3 linked regions of the Macaca fascicularis genome follow. The protein of the gene in region 1 purifies or fractionates together with the protein of each later gene. This does not show direct contact. Links are inferred from orthologs where the notes say so. Each region holds a gene or a part of one and is shown in the gene's direction. Other genes may lie near its edges.

Region 1 (8,177 bases):
TCCCTCTCTGCCGTTTCTCTCCCTTGATAATCTGCCAGAACAAGTAGCTTTGTAAGAGGGGTTTTTGATTTTTGATTTTCAGAATTTGCAGGTGCTTCCTATATTTGATAAGTCTGTGGATTAATTGTCATGATTAAAAAGATAAATCACAAGCACTTGGTATTCTATTACTAGAATGTCCTTTCTATGAGTTTTCTAGAATAGAGGGTACTGGGCCAGAAAGTTTTTACTATATAGGGCAGGAGCATGAACACTCCAATACTTAAAGGCTCCTACCAGCAAACATCCTTAGAAGGGGGAGAGGGTTGTCAGGTTTTTCTGACGTGTGCCTGCCAGTGGGGTAGGGTGTTTATACCTGCTCTTATGTGCATGGTTGTTTCAATGTTCCTCTCCTGTGGACAGAGGGAATTTAGAGAAGCAGAGAGAGAGAGAAGTCATTTTCCTGCTGTCTTTGGAGTGTGCTGATAGGGCAGTGTGGTTGACGAGGGTAACAGGCTGTATACAGCAGCCCAGGGGCATCTGCCTTCCAGAGCAGCACCTGTGGCTTTTAGTGGTACAGTGATACTGTCTCCCAGTTGTGAGCCTCTCTGTGTGGATGTGTGTGGCGTCGGATTCCGGGGCTCTTTTCATCAAAGAGGCGGAGCAGTGTGTGCTTTGATGAAGGAAGCGGAGTGGAATCCCCAGAGGTCTCCTTCCTGGCCCTGTCCAGTGGTGCAGTCTTCGTGTTGAATTTGCAGAACTGGCACTGATGGACTGTGTTTGAGTGTCACCCCCTCTCTTCGGATTCCAGGAAACTTGGAACTGCTGGGCAGAAGCTTGGTGGTGCCGCTGTCCTTTGTCATATCAAGCATGACCCTGTGGACCCAGGAGGATCCTTCACCTTGACCTCTGCTAATGTGGGCAAGTGCCAAACAGTTCTCTGTCGAAATGGAAAGCCACTGCCTCTGTCCAGATCTTACATCATGAGCTGTGAAGAAGAGCTGAAGAGGATTAAACAGCACAAGGCCATTATCACTGAGGTGAGAAAAGAGGGCTTTTCCCCAGGATGGTGGAGAGGAGAGGAGACCAGATCATAGCAGAAACTAGCTAGGGAGCATTTGCCTTCAAAGAACACTTTTTGAAGTTGGTTCGACATTAGAATTCCAAACCCATAGTATCACAAAGCAAATGTCTTACATTATGACGTATGCTTGTCAGTTGCCTCTCTGCATCAGGCACTGTGCTGCGTGCTTCGTGGGCACGATCCCATTCCATGTTTGCAGCCACTCTACAGAGGGCTGCTTTGGTGGTTGAGGGCTCTACCCCTGACATCACACTACTAGTTTTCATGTCTTAGCTCTGCCACTTGCAGGCTGTAACCTTTAAACCTCTCTAAGCCTCAGTTTTCTCATCTGTAAAGTGGGAATAATCATGCATCTGTCCTATCTTACAAGGTTGGTACGACTTGTAAACTATGAAGGTCTATGTAAGTGTAAGTCGTTGTTATTTTGGTTCATGTCTCACGTCTCATTTGAGTACACAGTGAGCAGTTCTCAGCTAGGGGCAGTTTGCTTCCCCACAAGACGTTTGGCAGCATATGGAGACATTTTTGGTCATCACAGTTGGGGCGGAGAGTGCGATTGGCATGCAGTGGATTGAGACCACTGAGCATCCTACAGCGCTGCTAGGACAATGCCGCTCAACACCCCACAATGCACAGGGCAGTCCCCACAGCACGGACTGTGGTGTGTGTGTTTGGAGGACGTGTCTCAAGGTAGAGAAGTAAAATACAATACAAAACAAAACCTCATTGTTGAGTATTAAGCAATGCAAACAAAAGCGGGGAAGAGGCGAGGCACGGAAAACAAGAGAAGTCTGACGTGCAAACCATGATTCATGTAGGCTGCTGAAATCATTTACCTTCAATTGTGTTTGGCATAGTGTTGAACTAAAGTTGAATTCAGTGCATTCTGTCCACATTAGACTGTCTTCTGCTCCCTAACACAGTGTCTGCCATCCATGTTCATCCTCTCTGCTCCAAGAATAGACAGAGAACAAATTCACACAGACTCATTTGCACAGAATCCCATGTATAGCTTGAGTGTTTCTGTTTCTTTCTTAAGGCCCTCATCAAAGCCTATGTGGAATCAGTCTTTTTTCTCTACTGGACTATAAGCTTTCACCAGAGTCCACCTCAAACTGTACGTGGTTCTGTGGGTTTTATCAACAGTGTAAGACTGGAAACTTCTTGAAGGTAGATGTTTATCTGCAGGTCACTGCTGTCTGCCCATGTCATTTTTTCAGGCACAGGGCAAATGACCAACACCTTGATGAATTAGCGAATGGAGCAGAACTCCTGGAGCCCATGTTGGAAGCTTCAGTGCTCATGAATCACAAAACCATTGGTTCTGATGGAGAGAAATCTAAAGGGATGGGCAGAACAGCAAGAACAGTTTCTGCCAAATTCCATGCTTTGGGGACAGATTATGTCAGTAGAATCAAGGCAGTTTAAGGTTGTGCTTGAAGCCCATCTTACTAATTGTACTAATAGGAATGCTTATCTGCTTATAAGTGTGGTGTGGCAAAGTTGTGTGAGAAGCTGGGAAAGACATCCCTAGGACAAGCAGGCACCTTGCCAAATCCCAAATAAAGGAAAGTGGTAGGACTGGAAAGGAAATGGATGTTCTCTGGAAGAAACACTTGCTCATCCCAGACAGGGATTTGTTGTAATGAAGCCTTTCCTGGAAAGAGGTGTTAAAACTAGGGCATGTAGAGATATGTCATGGACCTTAGAATCTCAAAATTTGAAGAATAAAGAACAAAGCAGGTACACATGGAAAAAAAAATCTTTTTATTGGCAAGTGGTCTGGCACTTTGGTAATTGATTTAAATAGCATGCACACAGCTGAACTAAAGCCAGCAGATCTTGCCTTCTCCATTGGTCAACAGGAAATCAAGTTCGAGGAAGTTGTAAGAATTGGCATTTCTTCTTTAGCATCTGTTCTCCTGACAGGAGCATTCTTACCCACCTAGTCATGCCAAGGTTTTCTCCACCTCTTAAGTACTTTCAAGTCCTCTCTGGACTTTTAGACACTACAGCCACTTGTGATCATGGAGAGCAATGGAAGATTCAGGAGCATTGTCTTGATATATGCCTGCCTCGTGTATCTTTGCTCAGGACTGGCTTCTGTCAGAAAGACTCTTCCTACCTCAGAGTCTTCCTACGCCCAGCCCGTCTGAGGGCCGATCCTTGATCACCATGTTCACTGAGGGAGGGAAGATGTAAACCCACCTTTATAGGAGGAGCTGGCCAGCTATGCTTGCTGTGTGTAAGGCTAGATGATGGCTTGCTTTAGATAAACAGCAGGACTTGTGACCTAGTGTGAATGGGGTCCCAGTAACACACATAACCAAAATCTTTTCCTTTTGTCCCTACTGCTCTTTACCTGCCCAGGCCTACTACCTGGGGATTCTGATGACAGGTGCACATTAACTACTCACTAGAGAGTGAGCCCTTCTTTCCTCTGTGGGCCACACAGCACTTCTTTGTGGTCCTACAGTTGAGACAGTCGAAGGACCCGCAGGGAACCTGCACAGTTGCCACAGGTGCTCTGTATTAACTGTCTCTCTGCAAACCCTTGTTCTTCCAGGATGGCAAGGTGAACGGGGTGACTGAGTCCACGCGCATCCTGGGCTACACCTTCCTCCACCCCAGTGTGGTGCCTCGCCCCCACGTGCAGTCCGTGCTCCTGACCCCCCAGGATGAGTTCTTCATCCTAGGCAGTAAGGGGTTGTGGGATAGCCTGTCCCTCGAGGAGGCCGTGGAGGCCGTGCGCAATGTTCCCGACGCCCTGGCTGCCGCCAAGAAGCTGTGTACCCTGGCCCAGAGCTACGGCTGCCACGACAGCATCAGCGCTGTGGTGGTGCAGCTCAGTGTCACCGAGGACAGCTTCTGCTGCTGCGAGCTCAGCGCCGGTGGGGCCGTGCCACCACCCAGCCCTGGCATCTTCCCTCCCTCAGTGAACATGGTGATCAAGGATCGGCCCTCAGACGGGTTGGGCGTGCCGTCCTCCAGCAGCGGCATGGCTTCCGAGATCAGCAGTGAGCTCTCCACTTCCGAGATGAGCAGCGAGGTGGGGTCCACAGCCTCCGATGAGCCCCCGCCCGGAGCCCTAAGCGAGAACAGCCCTGCCTACCCCAGTGAGCAGCGCTGCATGCTCCACCCCGTCTGTCTGTCCAACTCCTTCCAGCGCCAGCTGTCCAGCGCCACGTTCTCTAGCGCCTTCTCCGACAACGGCCTTGACAGTGACGATGAGGAGCCCATCGAGGGCGTCTTCACCAATGGCAGCCGGGTGGAGGTGGAGGTGGACATCCACTGCAGCCGGGCCAAGGAGAAGGAGAAACAGCAGCACCTGCTTCAGGTGCCAGCAGAGGCCAGCGATGAGGGCATTGTCATCAGCGCCAACGAGGATGAGCCGGGTCTGCCCAGGAAGGCAGACTTCTCTGCCGTTGGGACCATTGGGCGCCGGAGGGCCAATGGCTCTGTTGCGCCCCAGGAAAGGAGCCACAATATGATAGAGGTGGCTACAGATGCACCTCTTCGAAAGCCTGGAGGCTATTTTGCTGCCCCGGCTCAGCCAGATCCCGATGATCAGTTTATCATACCCCCGGAGCTGGAAGAGGAGGTCAAAGAAATCATGAAGCATCACCAGGAGCAACAGCAGCAGCAGCAGCCACCACCGCCACCTCAGCTCCAGCCGCAGCTGCCGCGGCACTACCAACTGGACCAGCTGCCAGATTATTACGACACGCCACTATGACCCAGCCGAGCTATTTAACAAATAAACTAACCACAAAATACCAAGTTGCAAGAGTCTCTCAGGCTCACATTAAACCAGGGGTTTTACTCCACGTCCTTCCCCCGGACACTGTTCCCAACCTGTCGTCGCAGCTAATCTGTAGGTTCTCTTTCTTTGGGTTATTTTTTAAAATAATCACCACTTTCTTCTAGTGATGCTTTACCAATATGATTTACATTTGTTAACTTCTCCCCCTAACATATCAGATATGTAAAGACAAAGAGCAAAAGGTTTAATATATTACAGAGAAACAGTTAATGATAATGTGCTATTTTTTAAAATGGCTTTTTGTTGTTTTGTTTGTTTGGAAGGCAGGGCAGGCTGCCGTTGCTAAATGATTTAATAATATTGTAATTCTGTATTTCTTTGGGGGGAAAAGGATTTTTTTTTTTTTTTTTTTTTGGTCTTGAAAATAATAGACATTTGTAGAATATGGAGACTAACTCCTAGGAGTTGCTTTACTCTGTCAGGTGACTTAAGTCACTGGGATTCACTAATTTTCTCTGAGAGAACAGCGATTGAGAATTTCTATTGTAAATAGCTCAGTGTTGTATAGTGAGGCTTACGATGTTTTGTAGTCTTGGCGTGAGGACACAGCCCAAGTAACTGACGTTTCCCCTTCCCCTCCCCTCTGAGGAGCCTGCCTGCCTCCCAACTCACCCTCACTTCACTGAATGAGGAGGCTGAGCAGCTGCAGCGTTTCTGTCCAGAGGAAGTGGATCTTAGGCCACCACACAAGAGCCTGCACCCAAAGGCCCTAAACCCGTTTTCCTCCCTGTCCCAGCCTCTCCACTTTGACAGACAATTTTTAACTGTGTTCCTTACTGCTGCCACAATCAGCATGGCTGTATAGTGCCCCATTAGGCCATTTACATACCCAGAGTTACACTCAAGCAGAATGCACAAATGGACATGTCATAATTTTTGTTATAATAAATATGAAATTTACAAGTATTTACAAGTATCTGCTTTTGTCTCAGCAGCCAGATGTGTCTTGGAGACAGTCACACTAGCTTGGGTTTGGAAAGAATGGATGGAATATTGGGGTTATCAGATATTTCTGATTTTTTTTTAAAGAGAAAAACATCCGTTAACCTACATTGAATGAAATGTGAAATTAACTGAATGCTAAACAGTATAATTAGCTGATCTTATAGCTTTTCTTTTCTTTTCTCTTTTCTTTCTTTTCCTTTTCCTTTTTCTTTTTCTTTTTCTTTCTCTTTTTCTTTTTGAAATGGAGTCTCACTCTGTCTCCCAGGCTGTAGCGCAGTGGTGTGTTCTCTGCCCACTGCAACCTCCGCCTTCCGGGTTCAAGTGATTCTCCTGCTTCAGCCTTCTGAATACTTGGCATTACAGGCACACACCACCACGCCCAGCTAATTTTCATATTTTTAGTAAAGATAGGGTTTCACCATGTTGGCCAGGCCGATCTCATACTCCTAACCTCAAGTGATCCGCCTACCTCAGCCTCCCCAAAGTGCTGGGATTACAGGTGTGAGCCACCGTGCCAGGCCTGATCTTACAGCTTTTCTATTTCTTCTTACGACTTAGGGTAAGATGTTTGGGTACTTCTTAGGGAAGATGTGAGAAGGGGGACAGACAGAGGTTGTACAGATAGAGGCGATCCCTGGACAACCTTACTCTCACGAAGCCAAGATGGTTTTCAGTTTTCTGGGGGCCTGTAGCTCACATAAGCGGGTTAAGCTGCCTCTTACTGGGACAGGGTCAGTCGAGCTGGTTGGCTTGCCCTCCACCACCAGCAGGAATCATGTAGGTGCAGCGGCGTATCCTTAGAAAGCCAGTATTCCCAGCTACTACTCAACCGCGTTTACAGACAGTGGGCCTCCGCCCTCACCTCGCCCCCACCCTGCACTTGGAAACCGTGTGTGGAAGATACTGTTGGTCTTCATTTCACATGGACCACCTTCCTATGTAGACCTGGCTTTCTTCTTTAGGTCCGCCCTTGGGTGGGACCTGGCTAGTTCAGTGACAGGGTAGTTCTTATTTCTTAACTAGTAGACTCGGTGGTGGGCTCTGCATCCCCCTCTAGGAGGCCGCTGGGTGGACTTTGTCTTCATAATGGCCGTACTTCACTTCCATGTCAGGCTACTTGCACACAGTGCTCTTTGGAAACCACTGAGGCCATGGAAGAGAATTGCCTCATCTCGGCCCAGTGAGGGACCCAGGGACCAAGGGAGCTGACTCCCCAGTGCAGGCGGAGCACTCTGGCTGAGACTGGAAGCTGAACCACCTCGGGACCCCTGCCCTGGTTCACTTGCCAGCCCCTTGCCTTCTCCCTGGGGCTGCCCCACTGGGTTGAAGCAGATGTGGACAACTCCAAGCTTTCACGCCAATGCCTTAGGTCCTGCAGGTCTGGGCTGGTTCTCTGACTTCCTCAGTTCTTAAATCCACCTCTGGGCAGGGTTCACCTGTCCCCGTGGCTGGAGCAGACCCAGGCCGTGTATGTGGATCTCTTCCACTGCAGCTCACTTCCAGAGCGGTCAGAACCGGCTCAGCGTGGCCCACGGAGGCAGCAGTCGCTTCCAGATTCTAAAATCGGCCCCATAGCAACTCTGGCCGGGGCAGCCCCTGGGACCCAGAAGCTGTGATGCAGGGACGCCTCATTTCCTAACTTCTGTGTCTGCTGCAGGAGAAAGGGGTATGAGGCTTGGAATTGCTCTTTTCCTGAGTCCTCCGGTTTAGTTGTGCTTGCTGCTGGGTTTATTGTCTCTTACGGTCTCATTGTGCACATACTACATGTAAGGCACCTTGGAGATATGGAGTGAGACTCTGCCCTTTGGAGGCTTGGGGTAAGTAGGGCATTTAGATGAAAAGCTAATTCAGTCGAGCACATGATGAGTGACCAAAGTGGCACAGACTTACTGATAGGTCTCCATGCTCTTGCATGGGAGCTGCCTCAGTTATTTCTGAGGAGTTTCTTTGCATTTCTGTTTATCCAGATACCATCTAATAGTATATGTAGAGCTGCTTATACAACTGAAAGTGTTTTCTGAATATTAAAGTCCTTAATATTTGAAGATCCCTGAAGCCACAGTGTCTGCAGGGTAAGTGCTAAGGAGAAGGGCATCCCCGCCTGCTCTATTCCCTGCTTCCTGCTGGAAATCCAGGTAATTAGGAAAGGGCTTTTGAGGGGAGAGAAAGGAAGAAATGAAAGCGAAAGGGGAGAGCTCTGGTGAGCCTTGCCAGGAGAAGAGCCCCTGATCAAGGACCCTTGAAACTGTTTGGTGTTGGATCCAGTGCGTGCTGCCCACCCTGTGCTGCCCTCAAGCTTCCTGCCCTTTGCTCCCGCTCCTGAACACTGGCTTTGATGAGAGGTAG
Region 2 (8,564 bases), on another chromosome or scaffold:
GTCTGGCTTTTTTTTTTCTAATGGAGAAGTGAAAGTTTAATTTGCCTTCTTGGTCAGAAGTCTGTTCATTTTACGTTATTCAGATTGCTGAGATGTGAAATCTTAACATTAAAGGTTTTTATGGAGAAGTGAAGTGTATATTTGAATAAATTATGAGAGGGTACAGAAGAAACACAGTTTTGAGAGTATTGTGACTTTTAATGTTACATTTTTGAGGGAAATGTATGAAAAGTATCACAGTGGTAGGGATATCTGGACATACAGAAATTGTGAGAGCCAAGAATTTTTAAATCTGAAAAATACTAAGAGATTGTGAGTAATCTCAGAAAATTGGAAACTACATAATCCTACTTGTACTATCATTTTATCTTTATGTTATGATAGCGTTTTATCACATTTCTCTTAAAGAAGGGGTTCTTAACTGGAAACAATTTTGTTTCCCGGGAAACTCTGCAGTGTCTGAAGAGATTTTTGATGATCATGAATGGTGGAGGGGGATGTACTACTGACATCTAATGAGTATAAACCAGGGGTGCTACTAAATATCCTATAATGCCCAGGACAGTTCTACCTAACAAAGAAGTATCTGGTCCAAAATGTCGGTAGTGCTGAAAATAAGAAACTTCACTCTTAGTATTTTATGTTACATTCTTACTCTACTGTTTTGAATGTTTGCTTTTCTGTTGTGTACCTATTCAGAAAAAAGGATTTTAGCACTGATTATGCAAATGGAAGCTACAGATTAAAAAAGGAGAGGTCTGGGTGGTAAGGCTTATTCTCAAACTTGCTTATCTCAGTTTTGGTACGTGAATAATTAGGGCTATTCAGTCAGCAAAGAGGGCATCTGCACTCTTAGCAAATTCTAGAGTCAAGTTATGTAGTGCTTTGATACTTAGCAAATTCTGGAGTCAAATTATGTAGTGCCTTGATACATATGTGAAAATCCTGAAGAAACATGAGTCATACCATTCTCTACATTTTCATTTTTCTTTCTTGTTTTAGCGAGCGAGGGTCTCGTTCTGTCGCCCAGGCTGGAGTGCAATGATGCGATCTCGGGTCATTGCACCCTCCACCTCCTGGGCTCTAGTGATTCTCCCACCTCAGCCTCCTGAGTAAGTGGGACTACAGGCACATGCCACCACACCTGACTTATTTTTGCATTTTATTTTTTTCAGAGATGGGGTTTCGCCACGTTGCCCAGGCTGGTCTTGAACTCCTGGACTCAAGTGTTCTGCCTGCCTTGGCCTCCGAAAGTGCTGGATTACAGGCACCAGCCACTGTGTCTGGCCCCTGAATTCTTTTCTTAAGATCTTAATATCATGCCATTGACATTTATTTTTTAGTTATTTCAGAGGTGGCCTTCAGAAGAGGACCTGTTTGGTAAAATTGCTATTGAGGATATTTCACTTAAAAATAAATTTGTCTTTAAATCCAGAAGATTTTTTTTGTTGTTTTTTGGGGTTTTTTTTTTTTGTTTGTTTGTTTGTTTGTTTTTTGTTTCTTTTTTTGGAACGCAGTCTCACTCTGTCATCCAGGCCATAGTGCAGTAGTGCGATCTTGGCTCACTGCAACCTCTGCCTCCAGAGTTCAGGTGATTTTCCTGCCTCAGCCTCCTGAGCAGCTGGGACTACAGGCATGCACCACCATGCCTGGCTAATTTTTGTATTTTTAGTAGAGATGGGGTTTCGTCGTGTTGGCCAAGCTGGTCTCAAACTCCTGACCTCAAGTGATCCACCTGCATTGACCTCCCAAAGTGCTGGGGTTACAGCTATGAGCCACCATGCCCGGCCAAAATCTGGGAAAAAGTTAAGTTAAGCTTTTAGGCTTCTATTTTTATCAGACAGGGTAAAGAATTTTTACCTTTTCCCCTCTTTGTGTGATAAATTGGTTGGTTTTAGTTACTGATTATTTAAAATAATAGGTTACTCAAATCTAAGATTTTGATATAATAGTTCTCTGGAATACAGTGTGTGTGAGAGAGTGTATTTAGAATTTTTATTAAGGCTGGTATAGTTGAATTTCTTTTATATATTAGTAAAGTAGAAATTTTTGTTAAGAAATTTCTAACTTAAAATTTTCAAATTAATCTTCCCTGAAGTTAACTTGAATTAATAAGCTTTTCTTTAGAGTACTTTTAATATTTTTAACGTATCTTACTATGTACAGTGACTGTTTAAATGTAATCATTGTTCTGTGTCTCCAGAAATGAATAATTTGTTTATGCATTCATTTACACTGTTATCTGTAAATATGTAATACATCACCTATAGCCCCTCGACTGCCGTGTAACTTGGAGATATGACAAACTTCACAGAATTTAAGGATACTTAGTGTTGGTAGGAAGGGCATGGTAACAGATAAAGCCACTGAGAGAATAGTGGACTGAATAGGTATCTGCATTGAAGAGCAAGCTGGGGCTGGGAAGGGCTTTTGGACCTCAACTCAGCTCCCAGTTACCAAGCTTCCTCCCCACCCTAACTGATGGCATATTGAGAGTTTGATTTACGTCTGATTTTGTTGTGTGTGTGAGGAAACTTCTTTAAGAGCAGCGAGATTGGGAGAAATGTAGATTATTTTTATCTGTGAAATTAATAAGGTTGACTGTAGTTAAAATTTTTTAGAAATCAAAATGTTACATGATGAACAACTAAATGTTAAACTATTGGTATATTGATAACTATAGAAGGGTTGGCAATAAGGTCTGTTAAGACAGATTTTGTTCACTACTGACTCCCCAGTGCCTAGAACAGTGCCTGGGATGTAGTAGGTATTCAGTAAGTATTTGTTGATTAATAGGTTGTGCAGATGAATGATGTTATAGTCAGTTTTTTCTTTCTAGGTGCAGATGCTAATTTCAGTGTCTGGATTAAAAGGTGTCAAGAAGCTCAGAATGGTATGTGGGTCTCCCTTGGTATTTAGTTTAAAAAGAAATAAACATCTGAATTTTTTTCGGTTTAAACAAATTTGTTTTTACCTTTATAATTTCTTTTAAATAGTATATGTTTCCTTAGATGTGGACTTCCAAAGATACACTGGTTTTTGCATAGCTTCTTATGTTGAATGGGAGATTAGGGTGGATTTGTTTGTGTGGTGTATCAGTAAGAAATTACAAGGAGTCTAAGATGAATTCAGAATGCAAAATGAAACCACTTTCTTTTGGGTAGTTTTCTTTAGTTGAAAAGTATGTAGAATTTGCTTGCTTAATCAGTATGTTTGTGCTATAGGAATCATATAAATAACTTTGCTTATAAATGCACTGTTACCTGAAAATGTTTCCTTTTTATGTTTTAATAGGCTCAGAATCTGAGGTGGTAAGTCCACAGTTTTCATTCTTCATGTTTTTATTATTTATTTTAAATTTCAAATACCAAATATATTTGAGACAAGACTCAGGATGAGCTGTCTGATAATTAAATATTGAGTAATTTCGTTTAAGTGCTGGTTCCTCTAGGAACTGAAATAAAATCATTTTTTGATGAATATAGAAGTTTCCAGTCATGAAAATTATTGGCCTATTTTAATGAATTTAGTGTGTGGTTAAAGTTGATTTCGTGTGTTTTAGTATGGTCAGGATGATTATTTATCTTTTTGTTGCTAAAACCTTATTGCATTTATTTAGGTTAAACAGTTTGAATCACTTGAAGGGGTTTTTGTGATAGTCTAAGACAAAAGTTAAAGAAAATTGGAAATTGACAGGGTCTTGCCCTGTCATGCTGGCTGGAGTGCAGTGGTGCCATCATAGTGCACTTGAGCTTCAAACTCCTGGGCTCAAGCAGTCTTCCCACCTCAGCCTCCCAAGTAGCTGGGACTACAGGTGTACACCACCAAACCTGGCTAATATACTCTGTTTCTTTAAAACAATGTTGTTTTAGTTTAGGGAGTTGCTCAATCTTAGAACTGGCCATTTTATATAAGCAACCTTTTCTAATCATGCCTTTAGAAGTTTTCTGTTACTTAAAGCTCTGTTGTTTTAGAGGAAAAATCTTCTATGAAATTGAAACTAAGATTTTTTTAAGTGCTGAACATTCTAATTTTTTTTGAAAACTAGTCGTATTTAACAATTACAATTACCATACTTTGAATAAAATTTTCATGTAGTTATTTTGTATCAAAATAACTGCAGTGTTGGATAAATTAATAATATGTGCATTTTAATATACAGTTGCTAAACTGACTTGTAAAAATCTTTCTCTTTCAACTTGCCGAAATCAATCTGCATCCCAGTGGACTCACCAGTCAAAAATCAAGTAAGTGTTTCTTTTTCATAAAACAATGCATGATAGATATTCCTAAAGAAGAAGAAACCCTGTAGTTTAATAGTAAGTAAATTCTTACCATGTGATTTTTAAGTTTTTGTTTTCTAAGATTGTGGTAATAGCTTTATGTAAAGCTAATTTTAAGGCTGTTTAAGAATTAATATTTATACTTAAGTTAAATCCAAATCATTTCTCATCTTTAAAGTTGCTTCACTTGATTTCATACTATGTTACCTTTGCATATGTTAAGGAGCGTCTCTTCCAGTTAAGTTTATGGTACTACACAGATAAACAAGTTAGTAGTAGACCTAACAGAATTGTAACTTACCCTGCCTTTTGTATTTGGAGCAAATTTTTATAGGAACATTCTCTATGAGTTGAAAGTTAATTGCTGAGGGCAGCAATTATAATAATGAATAAGCAACTAGCAAGTTTCTGACTTTTAATTATTCATTAGCCTGTGTACAGCTTGTATTCTTAGGACTGTAACAGAAACAAGCCATTGCTCTGGAGCTTTGCATCCTTACTGAATTGCAAAGAGAAACTGAGACTCTTAAAGTTAATTTCTTTAATCAAGTTGGTTTTGGATATAATTACCTAAAATGGCCTGGAAATGTTAAAAACAATCTATTCATGGTGATTGTGGGGAGATACAGGATAAAACTCCAAGTACCTAGTAGATGAGGAACTTTGACTTGCCCTGGCGGCAGCAGCAGGGGTAGGGCACATAACCATGAAATAATAAGGTGTTCAGAGCATAAAATAATCCAACATCTGACTTAATTTACGTGTACCAGACACTGTGCTTTGTCCTAGGAATATAATAGTGACAGGATAAACAGTTTTGCCCTCAGGGAATTTTTAATCTAGTCTAATTTGAAAGTGAGAATTCCCTATTTTTGTACTGAAACTCTGTTTTTAGAGTTTCAAACTCTTCACATTTTGAGAGTATCACTCAAAAGATGTAGATAGTAGTGTAATTTAGTAGGAAAAAACTCTTAGAGTTTCAGTACAAAAGGTGCACATAATTAGAATCTAGACCCATTAGTCTTCCCATGTATCTTGAAATTGAAGGAAAGTGTTGTATATGGTGTTGTGCCTGACATAGTTAAACTTTATATGATTTTAATTTTAGCTCATTTGCCCCTGTTTCCTGTGCTAAAGTCTATCAGCTTCCAACTTCAGTTATGAGAGCTTGGAGTGTTGACTCAGGCTTATTGCTTCACCTTTCTGAGTTTAAGTTTTATCATCTGTAAAATAGGGATTTAAGTGATTATCTTTAGTATTTGGATGACATGAGTGTAAAAACTTTGTTAATGACATGTAAATATTAGCTGTTTAAAATAAATGGCATCTTTAATATTTATATTAGTTTAAGCACAACAGTGTTGGAGATGAGTCAGAACCCAGAAAATCATGCAAGTATTTAAGTCTGCTGGAAAGGTGTGAGCATCATCTACCTTACCATTTTTTTCCTTTAGTACAGAGCATAAAAAACTAGTTAAGTAAAGTTGTTTCTGTGAATCAATAGCTGCTTTGCTGTTTTCTTCCTCCAGGTGGAGCTCTTGTTGTTTATCAGACTAGTTTTTGTTTTGACAATAGCTTTAAGAAAATTAGAAGTGTTATTTAAGTTTCTTTCTTTTTTTAATAGGTATGACTGGTATCAAACCGAATCTCAAGTAGTTATTACACTTATGATCAAGAATGTTCAGAAGAATGATGTAAATGTGGAATTTTCAGAAAAAGAGGTCAGTAGACTTTGAATCATTTTTCAATGTTAATTACTATTATTTGTAAATTTAGTATATTGCAGAATAATCTATAACGCTTTATCAGATAAATATCATTTCTTCCTGAGATGATGTGGAAAACGCTGAGTAAAATCTGAAGCCATTGCTTTGAGATAAGAATATGTATGTTGGTAAGTTATAGCTGGATGTGCTTTTTTTCCCTTCAGATTTGAAATTTAGAGCAGAATTTCGTTACATTAGTAAGATAATGTGATTTGTTTATACTTTTGTGGTGTACTTCATGAAAAAGATCTAGTTTTGTGATCACACATGTCTTAGAATTGACTAACCATGTTAAATGAATGTGACTTTTTTTTTTGTTTTTTGAGACAGAGTGTCCCTCTTGCCCAGGCTGGAGTGCAGTGTCGCGATTTAGACTCACTGCAACCTCCTCCTCCTGGGTTCAAGCAATTCTTCTGCCTCAGCCTCCTGAGTAGTTGGGACTACAGGCCCATCCCACTGTGCCTGGCGAATTTTTGTAGCAATGGAGTTTCGCCATGTTGGCCAGGCTGTTGTTGAACTCCTAACCTCAAGTGATCCACCCACCTCGGCCTCCCAAAGTGCTGGGATTAGAGGCATGAATCACTGTGCCCAGCCTCTTGAGTATGACTTTTAACAACTTGATTTCTTAGCATTTAGTAGAGAACCTTTTAATAGATAATTTAGAAGAGATAGTGATAGAGCTGTGTGTTTTGCACATGAATTACTTTTTGTTATATATCATTTTGCTTTTGTATGTTTTCTTGAGATTTAAATGTCAAATAGGTGTGATTATATGACAAATATTATGAAACTTACTCTTTTCTGCTGTTTAATGATATATATAAGAATTCATGTCAAGGATAACAGATGGAAAAAAAAAAAAGGTTCTTAAATCTTTCAGAACCTTTTGAGGTTCTTAAATCTAAAATCCCATATGTAATGTTTAAAATAATTTGTAACATTGAAGATTTATAATTATTTTGTCTAGGTTTTTTACCCTCCATTATATACATTTGCAAAATGTGATGGTAATTTTGTGTTCATTAGTTGTCTGCTTTGGTTAAACTTCCTTCTGGAGAGGATTACAATTTGAAACTGGAACTTCTTCATCCTATAATACCAGAACAGAGCACGTTTAAAGTACTTTCAACAAAGGTAAGACAATTGAAAAGGTTTGTTGCTAGTAATATTTTCAGAATTATAGAAATACTGGTGAACTGATCACCGATGTGTTTATGAGCTTGTAGATTCTTTCAGCCCTTTATATTTACAAGGGACAGGGAAAAGAAGAATGATAACTTTTGAGTGTAAGGGTTATTTTACCTCTCAAATTCTAGTACAGTAAAGTGTAAAAATCCACTTAGCTTGTGTGGTGTTTGTGCACTTATTAAAACAGATATAATGTTTTTCAATAAAGAGATTTTTTTAAAAGATACAATAATGAGCCTATCTTTTAAGATTGGATACTGGCCGGGCGCGGTGGCTCAAGCCTGTAATCCCAGCACTTTGGGAGGCCGAGACGGGCGGATCACGAGGTCAGGAGATCAAGACCATCCGGGCTAACACGGTGAAACCCCGTCTCTACTAAAAATACAAAAAATTAGCCGGGCGTGGTGGCGGGCGCCTGTAGTCCCAGCTACTCGGGAGGCTGAGGCAGGAGAATGGCGTAAACCCGGGAGGCAGAGCTTGCAGTGAGCTGAGATCCGGCCACTGTACTCCAGCCTGGGTGACAGAGCGAGACTCCGTCTCAAAAAAAAAAAAAAAAAAAAAAAGATTGGATACCGACAGTGTCTCTTCTCTTGAACTTGTCAGTTTTGTTTGTTTTGATGTACACATACTTTTCTCACCCTACCTCATGCAGTTAAAAATACAAACTACTATAAAGATGAATCCTCCTTTTTTTTTTTTTTTGAGATAGAGTCTTCTTCTGTCGCCCAGGCTGAAGTGCAGTGGCACTGTCTCGGCTCACTGCAACCTCTGCCTCCTGGATTCAAGCAGTTCTCCTGCTTTAGCCTCCCAAGTAGCTGGGACTACAGGCATGTGCCACCACACCCTGCTAAATTTTTGTATTTTTAGTAGAGATGGGGTTTCACCATGTTGGCCAGGCTGGTCTCCAGGTCCTGACCTTGTCCTTTTTTTTTTTTTTTTTTTTTTTTTTAATTAAAATGAATTTTACGTTACTTTGTAATGAGGGAACAATGAATAAATTATAGTTTGAGTAGTTTTTAGATTCCTTTATAGTTTCTAAAAGAAGTAGAGATATACAATAGAATTAATGTTCAGAGAGTATCACTCAAAAGATGTAGATAGTAGTGTAATTTAGTAGGAAAAATACTGAATTGAAAATTTAAAAATCTGACTCTGGATCTTTGCTTGCCCTGTGAATTTAGTCTAGGCACAAAATGACTATAAGACTGAATTTTCAGCACCTTTGAAAGGAGGGCTGTGGACCAAATGAACTCTGGAGTCCTTTCAGCTGTAGAATTGTGTGAAGGTATATGATAAATGAGTTAATGGGAATAAATGATATAGGTAG
Region 3 (8,564 bases), on another chromosome or scaffold:
AGGGGAGGGGTAAACAGGAGAAAATGAGGCGAGTAGGGGCTGAGGAGTGGGCCTCAGCTCTACAGCATTCGCCTGAGAATGTATCGTTATCCGTGGCAGCGCCTTGTCTCATTGGATGGCCCTAGGCCTAGTGTGGCCGCGACTCCAAACCGAAAGCCCGGGTGAAGCCCCGGCATGCAGCCAGGCAGCCATTTTCCGGAGCGGCTCTCTCGGTCACCCCGCCCGGGCGCGTACGCACGAAGGGAGGCGGGGCTTGCCGCGAGGGCCTCGCTCCGGAAGCCGCACCCTCCGCGGCGTCCCACCGTCGAGGATTAACAAAACGCCAAACAAGATTTCAACAGTCGGCAGCGAAAGCGCGCACTCGAGCGCCAATGAGAGCGGAAGGAGGGGCGCCGTGCCTGAGGAACACTCCGTATGTCGAACAATGATTGGCTGGAGCCCACCTTTCTTCTTTTTTGCTATTAGAGGGACTTGCTGCTCCCGCCCTTCTAATTGGCTTTGGTCTAGGTACTTCTGATTGGTTTCCCCCGGGCGGTGGGAGGCGCGGTTTTGGGGATTGTTCATCATGGATTGGTGAATTTGGGCTCCTTCTCTAGGCGGTGGCCCGTCCCGTCTGCTCTCTGTCCCGTCTCCCGACCCGTACGCGTTTCCCTCAACTCGCGCGCACGAATGGTTAAAAAAAGGGTGTGAGGCTCGAGCCCGCCAGCCAGGCCGCTAGCACCTCGCGCGCGCCCTTAGCGAGGACCCGCACGAGCTGCCCGGCTCTCTGCCTGCGCTGTTTGAAACTGTGGAACCCGTTAGGCTCTTGGGGAGCTACAGTCCCAGCTGGCTCTGGAGCCCGTGCGTGCCGGGGGCGAGTGACCGTCGCGAGACGGCTCCTGCCTTTCGCGTCTCTGCAGCGTGGAGACTGGAACCGGCAATTTCAAAGGACGCCACGTTCAATCGCAGCGCTGGCGCGGGCGGAGGCTAAAACACGGGGGTCCTGAGACTGAGGAAAACGCGCCAAGTTCCCCTCGGTGGCGGAGTGCGAAAGACCCTAGCGGTTCAGGCGCTCGGCGAGCGGGGCTGCTGCTTGTTGCGCTCCTGGCTATCCCGGGGCGGGCGCGGATAGGCGCCGCTCCGGGGATGTAGTTGGTGCCGGTGCAAGGCGGGACCGAGCGGCGGTCGGGGTTCCCGCTCTTGGGAGCGGATGGTCACTCCCCCGCGGGGAGGGTGATCCGACCAGATTTTCCTGGGGCCGGGGGGACCCGGCGGACTCGGAACAGGGACTCACCTGTCGCACCCACACTCATTCGGGTTGGACTTGCCGGCGTCACTGCCGCGGACCTCGCTTTGGGCCATGACCAGGTAAGGAGGGCCTGGGAGGAGGGGCCGGCGCCCCGGCGCGGGGGCAAGTTCGGCCGGCGCGGGAGAGGAGCTGCCGGGGAGACCCCCGGGACCGTGTTGGCCTCGCACCCTGGTCGAGCTGCCAGCGGGAGCCTTGTGTGCCTCGGGCGGGGCGCCTGTCTTGCCGCCGCCGGGACGCGAGAAGGCAGGTGCGGGCTGGGCGTAAATAGGCCAACTCCGCGGCGAGGGCGCCCGGCGCGGGGGTGTGGGCCGAGAACGCCGCCGCCAGCCTCCCCCGGCCCGGCAGCCTAGTCGCTGCTGGTTCTTCCAGCTTCCTTTCCGTTCCCGAGAGCGGTGAAGGTTGGGGAGAAAGAAACGTTTCCACGCAGGTTGCCCTGGATCGGTCAGTAATTGCGAAATTTTACCGCGCATTTTCTTTCACTTACACTTTTTCCAGAAGTGTTTAGAACGCCGCGTCTTAAACCTTGGCGAAGATGTCCTTGTATATTTTTCTTGAAAAATCGGAATCGAGTCGTGTCATCTCAAAAAGAATTTAAAACTGTTGGGACTGAGTATTCACGCTGTCAACAGATAATGGTCGTTTCGTCGTGCTTTCTGCGAAAGTTGACTTAGTTACAGGAGAAATATTTTGCATGTAACAGCCCCCCCCAGTTATAAGGAAAGCCAGGAGCAAGAAATAATAGCACGGAAGATACTGCACCTGGCAAAATGTTACATTCTCGGTGTGAACATTGCTTTGAGGGACTAGGAGGTTTGGTTTGTTGATTAAGCTGACGATCCGCTATTTCACCTGCCTAATCATTCTTCCCTCCTGTGAAGTCTGGTTACTCTGTCGGTTTGAGATCCAGTTTCTGTCATCCATTAGAATTGGCTCTCGAGAAAAACATTTTATCAGAATCATTAATGCTTGGCGATCCCTGAGAACTTAGCGTAGGTTAGTTTGTCATTTAGAAGACAGCGCTTCCTCAGAAGCATTAGGTGAAGCATTAGGTGGATAGGAGAGTAAGTGAAGTTGGAGACAGAATGGGGAGATTGATCAGCTTTTCCAGTTCTTCCTGACTTGGGTCTTAAAAATGGTTTCAGTGCTGAGTTTAGTGTGAATTCCTAGATCAGTGTCAGCCACGTGAAATGCTTATTAAGGATGGAATTTGAGTGAGTTTTGTGTAGTTCATTTTATTACTCTGCATTTTAAATTTGAAACTCGTTGCTGAAGTTTTGGGCTTTAAGTAATTTTATTATGGTAATACTCTAGTTAGATAATTTTTCCTCACATGTCCTGAAAAATAGGACTGATGTAGAAAATATTAGTAACTCCTACAAATGTTGCCATATTTTTTCCTGTGAAAGTTTTGCTTTAAAACAGGGTGGGAAAGTTGCAAATGGCAAACCAAATCATCTTTTTTCCTACTCAAAGCACTATTTTTGGAATCCTAAGTTTTAAAAAAAGTTTGGAAAACGAGTATTGTGATTTCTGGCTCATTAAGAATTGGATTTACACAAAGTGCATCCAACAGTGTTTTGTATCACTGTCTCAACTTTGCATGTGTTTTATTATTGAAAGATAATAAAACTTTACGGTTTTAGGTATATCTTAACACCATCTCTATGCCTTGAATGCAAATTATACTTTAATAAACTTTTTAGGTACTTTATTTTCATGTATTCATGTTAATAACTAGAAAAGGCATTGGAAGAGAGGACTCATTATCGTCCAGCACTACTTTGATTTTCCATTCATCCTTTCCATGTACTTGAGAATTAGAGGTGATAGTGCTCAATTTTTCTGAATGAATTATTATAATGAAATATTAAGTTTTTACTACTTACACTACTTTACTGTAGGTCTGCTAAATAGGATATTTTGTAATGCGACCCTTAATCCATAGCAGACTGATTTTAAAAATTCAGTAGCTTCTATTTTTTGTTCTTTAAGAATAGTGTGGTAAGCTTTTTCATTTAAGCAATAAATATTGAGTGCCTATTGGCAGGCATTAGGTTTTCAAATATTAATTTCTAATTTGTACCATTCCCTTGGTAAATTTGTTTTCAAAATTGATGATTTTGTTGCCTAAAACTGATAACCGAAAACTAATGAAATTTTTTCTCTGTGATTAACAGATATAATTGATTACAACTTTCCTCTATAAATTAATTATTGACAACTCCTTGGGATTTGAGAAAAAAATGCCTGGTGTCATACCTAGTGAAAGTAATGGACTTTCAAGAGGTAGCCCATCAAAGAAAAACAGACTTTCCTTAAAGTTTTTTCAGAAAAAGGAAACTAAGAGAGCTTTGGATTTCACAGATTCTCAAGAAAATGAAGAAAAAGCTTCTGAATATAGAGCATCTGAAATGTATGTATCTTACATTTCTGTACTTTAAAAATTCTACAGTGAAGCAGCAGTGAACTTGGTTGACACCTCCACTCTGACTTGATAGTCTATAGAGGCACAAAAAAGTACACTTCAGTGTACTTCTTAATAAGTCAAGTCTAGCCGTTTATAGTAGGAACAGCAAAACTGGTGGTTCCCCATAGGGATCACATCCATAATGTTTAACTCATGAACACTGTGCTCAGCCATGTAGACTAACTTGGAGAAATATTCATAGATTAAAATTGTCTTTCTGAGTTTAAATTTATTTGTCGTGCAAAACATTTGTGTAGGGGTAAAAGGTTATATATATATGTATATATATTTGTTTGGTTCAGAAGACTTGACGGTTATAAGACATTTTAAACTGTAGTCATGTGACTAGTCATACCTGTTGGAGGCATACGATTGCAAATTATAGAAATAAACTTAAAAATAAGTAATGCTTTTGATGCAAATAAATTCTTTAGCTACAGAAAATAAATCAGAACAAAGTGAAATACTTTATTCCACCACCAGCAGCTCTAGCTGGAGTCTGTACTGCTTCCCTGTTTAACATATAGTCACTCTGCTGGGTGACTAAGGTGGATTTGGTCCCATGTGTTAATTTCCAATAGCTATCAATAACCAGTTGAGGAGATTGTTTGAGAGTGAACCTTTTGTTTATCAGCATTCATACTTCTAAATACTTTGAGGTGCTGGAGTAATAATAGCTAGCAATTGTAAAATAAAATACTGGGAAGACCTAGTGGGTTTTTTTTTGTTGTTAAAGAAGTAAAAGAATAATAATGTATTTATTTTTTGAGACGGGGTCTCCTTGTGTTGCCCAGGCTGGTCTTGAACTCCTGGGCTCAAGCAGTCCTCTAAAGTAGCTGGGATTACATCTCAGTGCCACCACACTCACCTTCTGAACATTTTATTTTTAAGTGAGAGATAGCTAAATAATTTTTTTTTTTTTTGAGACAGTCTTGCTCTGTCGCCCAGGCTGGAGTGCAGTGGCCGGATCTCAGCTCACTGCAAGCTCCGCCTCCCGAGTTTACCCCATTCTCCTGCCTCAGCCTCCCGGGTAGCTGGGACTACAGCTGTCCGCCACCTCTCCCGGCTAGTTTTTTGTATTTTTTAGTAGAGACGGGGTTTCACCGTGTTAGCCAGGATGGTCTCGATCTCCTGACCTCGTGATCCGCCCGTCTCCGCCTCCCAAAGTGCTGGGATTACAGGCTTGAGCCACCGCGCCCGGCCATATAATTTTCTTCATAGACTTTCTTTTCCTTGAATTCTTATTAATATAATCTTTCTTAGTTCAGCCTCTCCCAAATATTGCCATGGTTAATTTATTCCCAGGTTTCTGTTCAGTTACACTACTTGATTAAAATGTCAAAGTAGGTAAAACAAATCACAGTCTCTCAGTTCCTCAATTTTTTGCTCTGTAAAATAGGATTAACATCCTTTTAAGGGAATTGTTCTGTGGCTTGGTATGTGTAATAATGTTTTAAAAACTTTCATTCTGGGCATATAGCAGTTTTTGAGCCTGTATTTCTTAAAATGTCATCTGAACAAGATTCACATACTTTTCAGATTATACAACTTTTGGGAAAAGACTAAATCTATGGAAGTAATATTTTCACCTTGTTTCTTTGAGATAACTACTTGATTATCTTTTCCCCCTTCTATATTTAATAGTGATCAAGTTGTTCCTGCAGCACAGTCTTCACCTATAAACTGTGAGAAGAGAGAAAACTTGTTACCATTTGTGGGACTGAATAATCTCGGCAATACTTGCTATCTTAATAGTATACTTCAGGTAAATTGACAGTTTTGCTATATAACAAAACTTTAGTAGGCAAAGAATAATGTAACATTTAATGTTTCTGAGTTATTGGAGGACTTTAATGTCCATACTGTCTTTGCCTTTGATTGTAAATGAACCAGAACAGGCTAAAATAATACGTTGCATGTTGTTAAACTTGCTTTGGGATAAGAGAAAGTGATAGACTAAATAAAGGTGGGATAGCAAAATTGAGTAGACCTTAAGTGGAAGTTCAAACCTTTAATTTCTTTCTCTGATTGCTGGTGCTACAGTAATACGTATCTTATCCCTTGGAAATAACGTTGGCTTTGTGTTGTGTGTTCTTGTAACCTTAAAGTCTTAGCAATATCTGCCCAGACTCAGTGCTTTGTGCCAGTGAGGGAATACACTGGGCTACTACTGATGAAGTGGAGAACAAATTTTGACACAAAACTTAATCTCAGAATTTTAGGTACTACACATTAAAAGGGCCTATAGAAAGCATGATGTTGTTTTAATGATTTTACGTATATTGTTCAGTGAACACTTAGACAGTCTCACTTTTTATAGGTATTATATTTTTGTCCCGGTTTTAAATCTGGAGTAAAGCACTTATTTAATGTTATTTCAAGGAAGAAAGAAGCTCTAAAGGATGAAGCCAATCAAAAAGACAAGGTAAGAACAGTAACAGAAAATAATGTAAAAAGCAAAAGTAAATTAATGGAAATTTACTTGCCTGGAAATGAAGAGACTGCGGGGGTGGGTGACAAAGATTATTTCTCTGTTAACGAACTATTGTCAGGCAATTATTTTTCATTCTTTCAAGGTAGCTAACTAGATAATTCCCTTTTACAGATTGTTTGCTCCTGTAATATGTGTATCAAACTTTTGTTACTTGTATACTATACATTATTGTGTACTATAATCACAATATGTCACACCCATGTACAACCTATTTACCCATTGTGTTTTCAAATTGACTTAAAATTTAAGTAACTACACAGTATTTAAAGAAATCTTTGACTTCCATAATTAAAAAACCATTGTAAGTCACATAAATAGTAATTCAAAAATTCCTCTTAAAATTACAAAAAAAGACGAGGCGTGGTGGCTCATGCCTCTAATCCCAGCAGTTTGGGAGGTGAGGGTGGGTGATGGATCGCTTGAGTGCAAGATTTTGAGACCAGCCTGGGTAACATGGCAAAACCCTGTCTCTACTAAAGATATGAAAACTAGTAGGGCGTGGTGGTGTGAGCTTGTAGTTCCAGCTAATTGGGAGGCTGAGGTGGAGGATTGCTTGATCTCAGGAGGTTGAGGCTCCAGTGAGCTGCGATCAAGCCACTGCATTCCAGCCTGGGTGACAGAGACCCTGTCTCAAAAAAATAAAAAATAAGGCTTATTTGTATATCCTTTAAAATTAGTGCTATAATGCAACTTAGAAAACCTAGTATTCTTAAGTGAGACACAGACAAAGGGGGAAGGTACTTAATTTGTTCATAAAATTATTGGTTTGTGTGTTTCTTTCTTGACAGGGAAATTGCAAAGAAGATTCTTTGGCAAGTTATGAATTGATATGCAGTTTACAGTCCTTAATCATTTCGGTTGAACAGCTCCAAGCTAGTTTTCTCTTAAATCCAGAGAAATATACTGATGAACTTGCCACTCAGCCAAGGCGACTGCTTAACACACTCAGGTATAGCCTATAATATAATTTTAGGGTTTCAATTTAACTACTTGTTTATATCCTTGGAGGAGAATGGTATGTGAAGAAACAGGAATAAAAGGGCAAGGAAAGTAGAAACTATAGGTCCACAGTCCTTTGTATCTCAGAGGCTCTGAATACTGGAAATTTTTTTCATATATTTGGTGCTAAATTTGTTAGATTTGAATATATTATATGAGGCTTTTTATAGTCATTCATATTTATCTCTAATGTGAATATTCATACATTCTTCTATAGAAGTAGTAATGTATTTAATTATAGAGTACTCCCATATCATGTCGGTGATAAATATTTTACTTATATGCCATATTATCATTGCATCTGAAAATGTCTGAATTTCTAAATGTGTGGTCCTAAGGATTTCACATTAGGAATTATAGGACTATATTCAAAATATGTGTAAGAACTGTAAATTCTAAATATTCTATTTTTGTTATATGGGATTAGAGAACTGTTGGCTAACTGGATTAGATTGCTTTTTGGTATTTTCTTAAAAATGAAACAATATATAAAATAGCCTTATTCAAATAAAATTATACTAATAGGGCAAGTCTTTAAAACAATCACTTAAGCATTCAGTTTAAAAATAGAACTAGGTGCAATTTATTGCTATACCTTAATTAAGAGGTATTGTAGGCCAGTCACAGCCCACACTTGTAATCCCAGCACTTTGGGAGGCTAAGGTATGTGGGTCATTTGAGGTCAGGAGTTCAAGACCAGTGTGGCCAACATGGTGAAACCCCGCCCCTACTGAAAATACAAAAATTAGCTGGTCGTGGTAGTTCGCACCTGTAGTCCCAGCTACTCAGGAGACAGAGGCAGGAGAATCGCTTGAACCCGGGAGGAAGAGGTTGCAGTGAGCCAAGATTGTGCCACTGCACTCCAGCCTGGGCAACAGAGCAAGACTCTTGTCCAAAAAAAAAAAAAAAAAGCTATTGTAGCGTGGTGGCCAAGAGCGTGCTGATTTGAATACTGGCTTTTCATCCTAAGTAGTTCTGTGATCTTGGGCAAGTTAATTAACCTCTCTGTGCCTTAGTACCTATATCTGTAAATAGTGGGGATAATAGTACCTCATAGGGTTATTGTGAAGATAATGTATACATAGATAAAAAAACATTTTGACTAAAACCTGGTATATGGTAAGCATTATCTAAGTATTAGTTATTATATTTAGAAGAGGATCAAGGTATTATAATGAAAGTAGGGTACAAGTTACTCTTTTAGTTACAGGTAAGAAATTCCAAATTAGTGCTGAATAAATGTCTTGAGATTTAAAAAATGAAATAATTTATGATTTTCCTTACATGAATTAATTTCTATATAGATTTTATGTACT

The links.
Region 2: the proteins of PHLPP1 (region 1) and SUGT1 purify together in Homo sapiens (affinity purification with mass spectrometry; 5 studies listed by BioGRID and IntAct, with this or other methods). This does not show direct contact. The link is inferred for Macaca fascicularis from reciprocal best matches to the Homo sapiens genes PHLPP1 and SUGT1.
Region 3: the proteins of PHLPP1 (region 1) and USP1 purify together in Homo sapiens (affinity purification with mass spectrometry; 6 studies listed by BioGRID and IntAct, counting the BioPlex papers as one, with this or other methods). This does not show direct contact. The link is inferred for Macaca fascicularis from reciprocal best matches to the Homo sapiens genes PHLPP1 and USP1.

What each region holds. Positions count from the first base shown.
Region 1 is NC_088392.1:17,856,969-17,865,145, reverse strand, and holds the end of PHLPP1 (PH domain leucine-rich repeat-containing protein phosphatase 1), read left to right. Parts: intron 1-790; coding exon 791-1,019; intron 1,020-3,629; coding exon 3,630-4,799; 3' UTR 4,800-5,792; downstream 5,793-8,177. UniProt on the Homo sapiens protein: Protein phosphatase involved in regulation of Akt and PKC signaling.
Region 2 is NC_088391.1:31,868,487-31,877,050, forward strand, and holds part of SUGT1 (protein SGT1 homolog), read left to right. Parts: intron 1-2,839; coding exon 2,840-2,893; intron 2,894-3,294; coding exon 3,295-3,311; intron 3,312-4,224; coding exon 4,225-4,247; intron 4,248-5,907; coding exon 5,908-6,004; intron 6,005-7,075; coding exon 7,076-7,183; intron 7,184-8,564. UniProt on the Homo sapiens protein: May play a role in ubiquitination and subsequent proteasomal degradation of target proteins.
Region 3 is NC_088375.1:172,260,470-172,269,033, reverse strand, and holds the start of USP1 (ubiquitin carboxyl-terminal hydrolase 1), read left to right. Parts: upstream 1-248; 5' UTR 249-507; intron 508-940; exon of another isoform or gene 941-1,347; intron 1,348-3,465; 5' UTR 3,466-3,531; coding exon 3,532-3,701; intron 3,702-5,399; coding exon 5,400-5,520; intron 5,521-6,075; coding exon 6,076-6,180; intron 6,181-7,037; coding exon 7,038-7,198; intron 7,199-8,564. UniProt on the Homo sapiens protein: Negative regulator of DNA damage repair which specifically deubiquitinates monoubiquitinated FANCD2. Also involved in PCNA-mediated translesion synthesis (TLS) by deubiquitinating monoubiquitinated PCNA.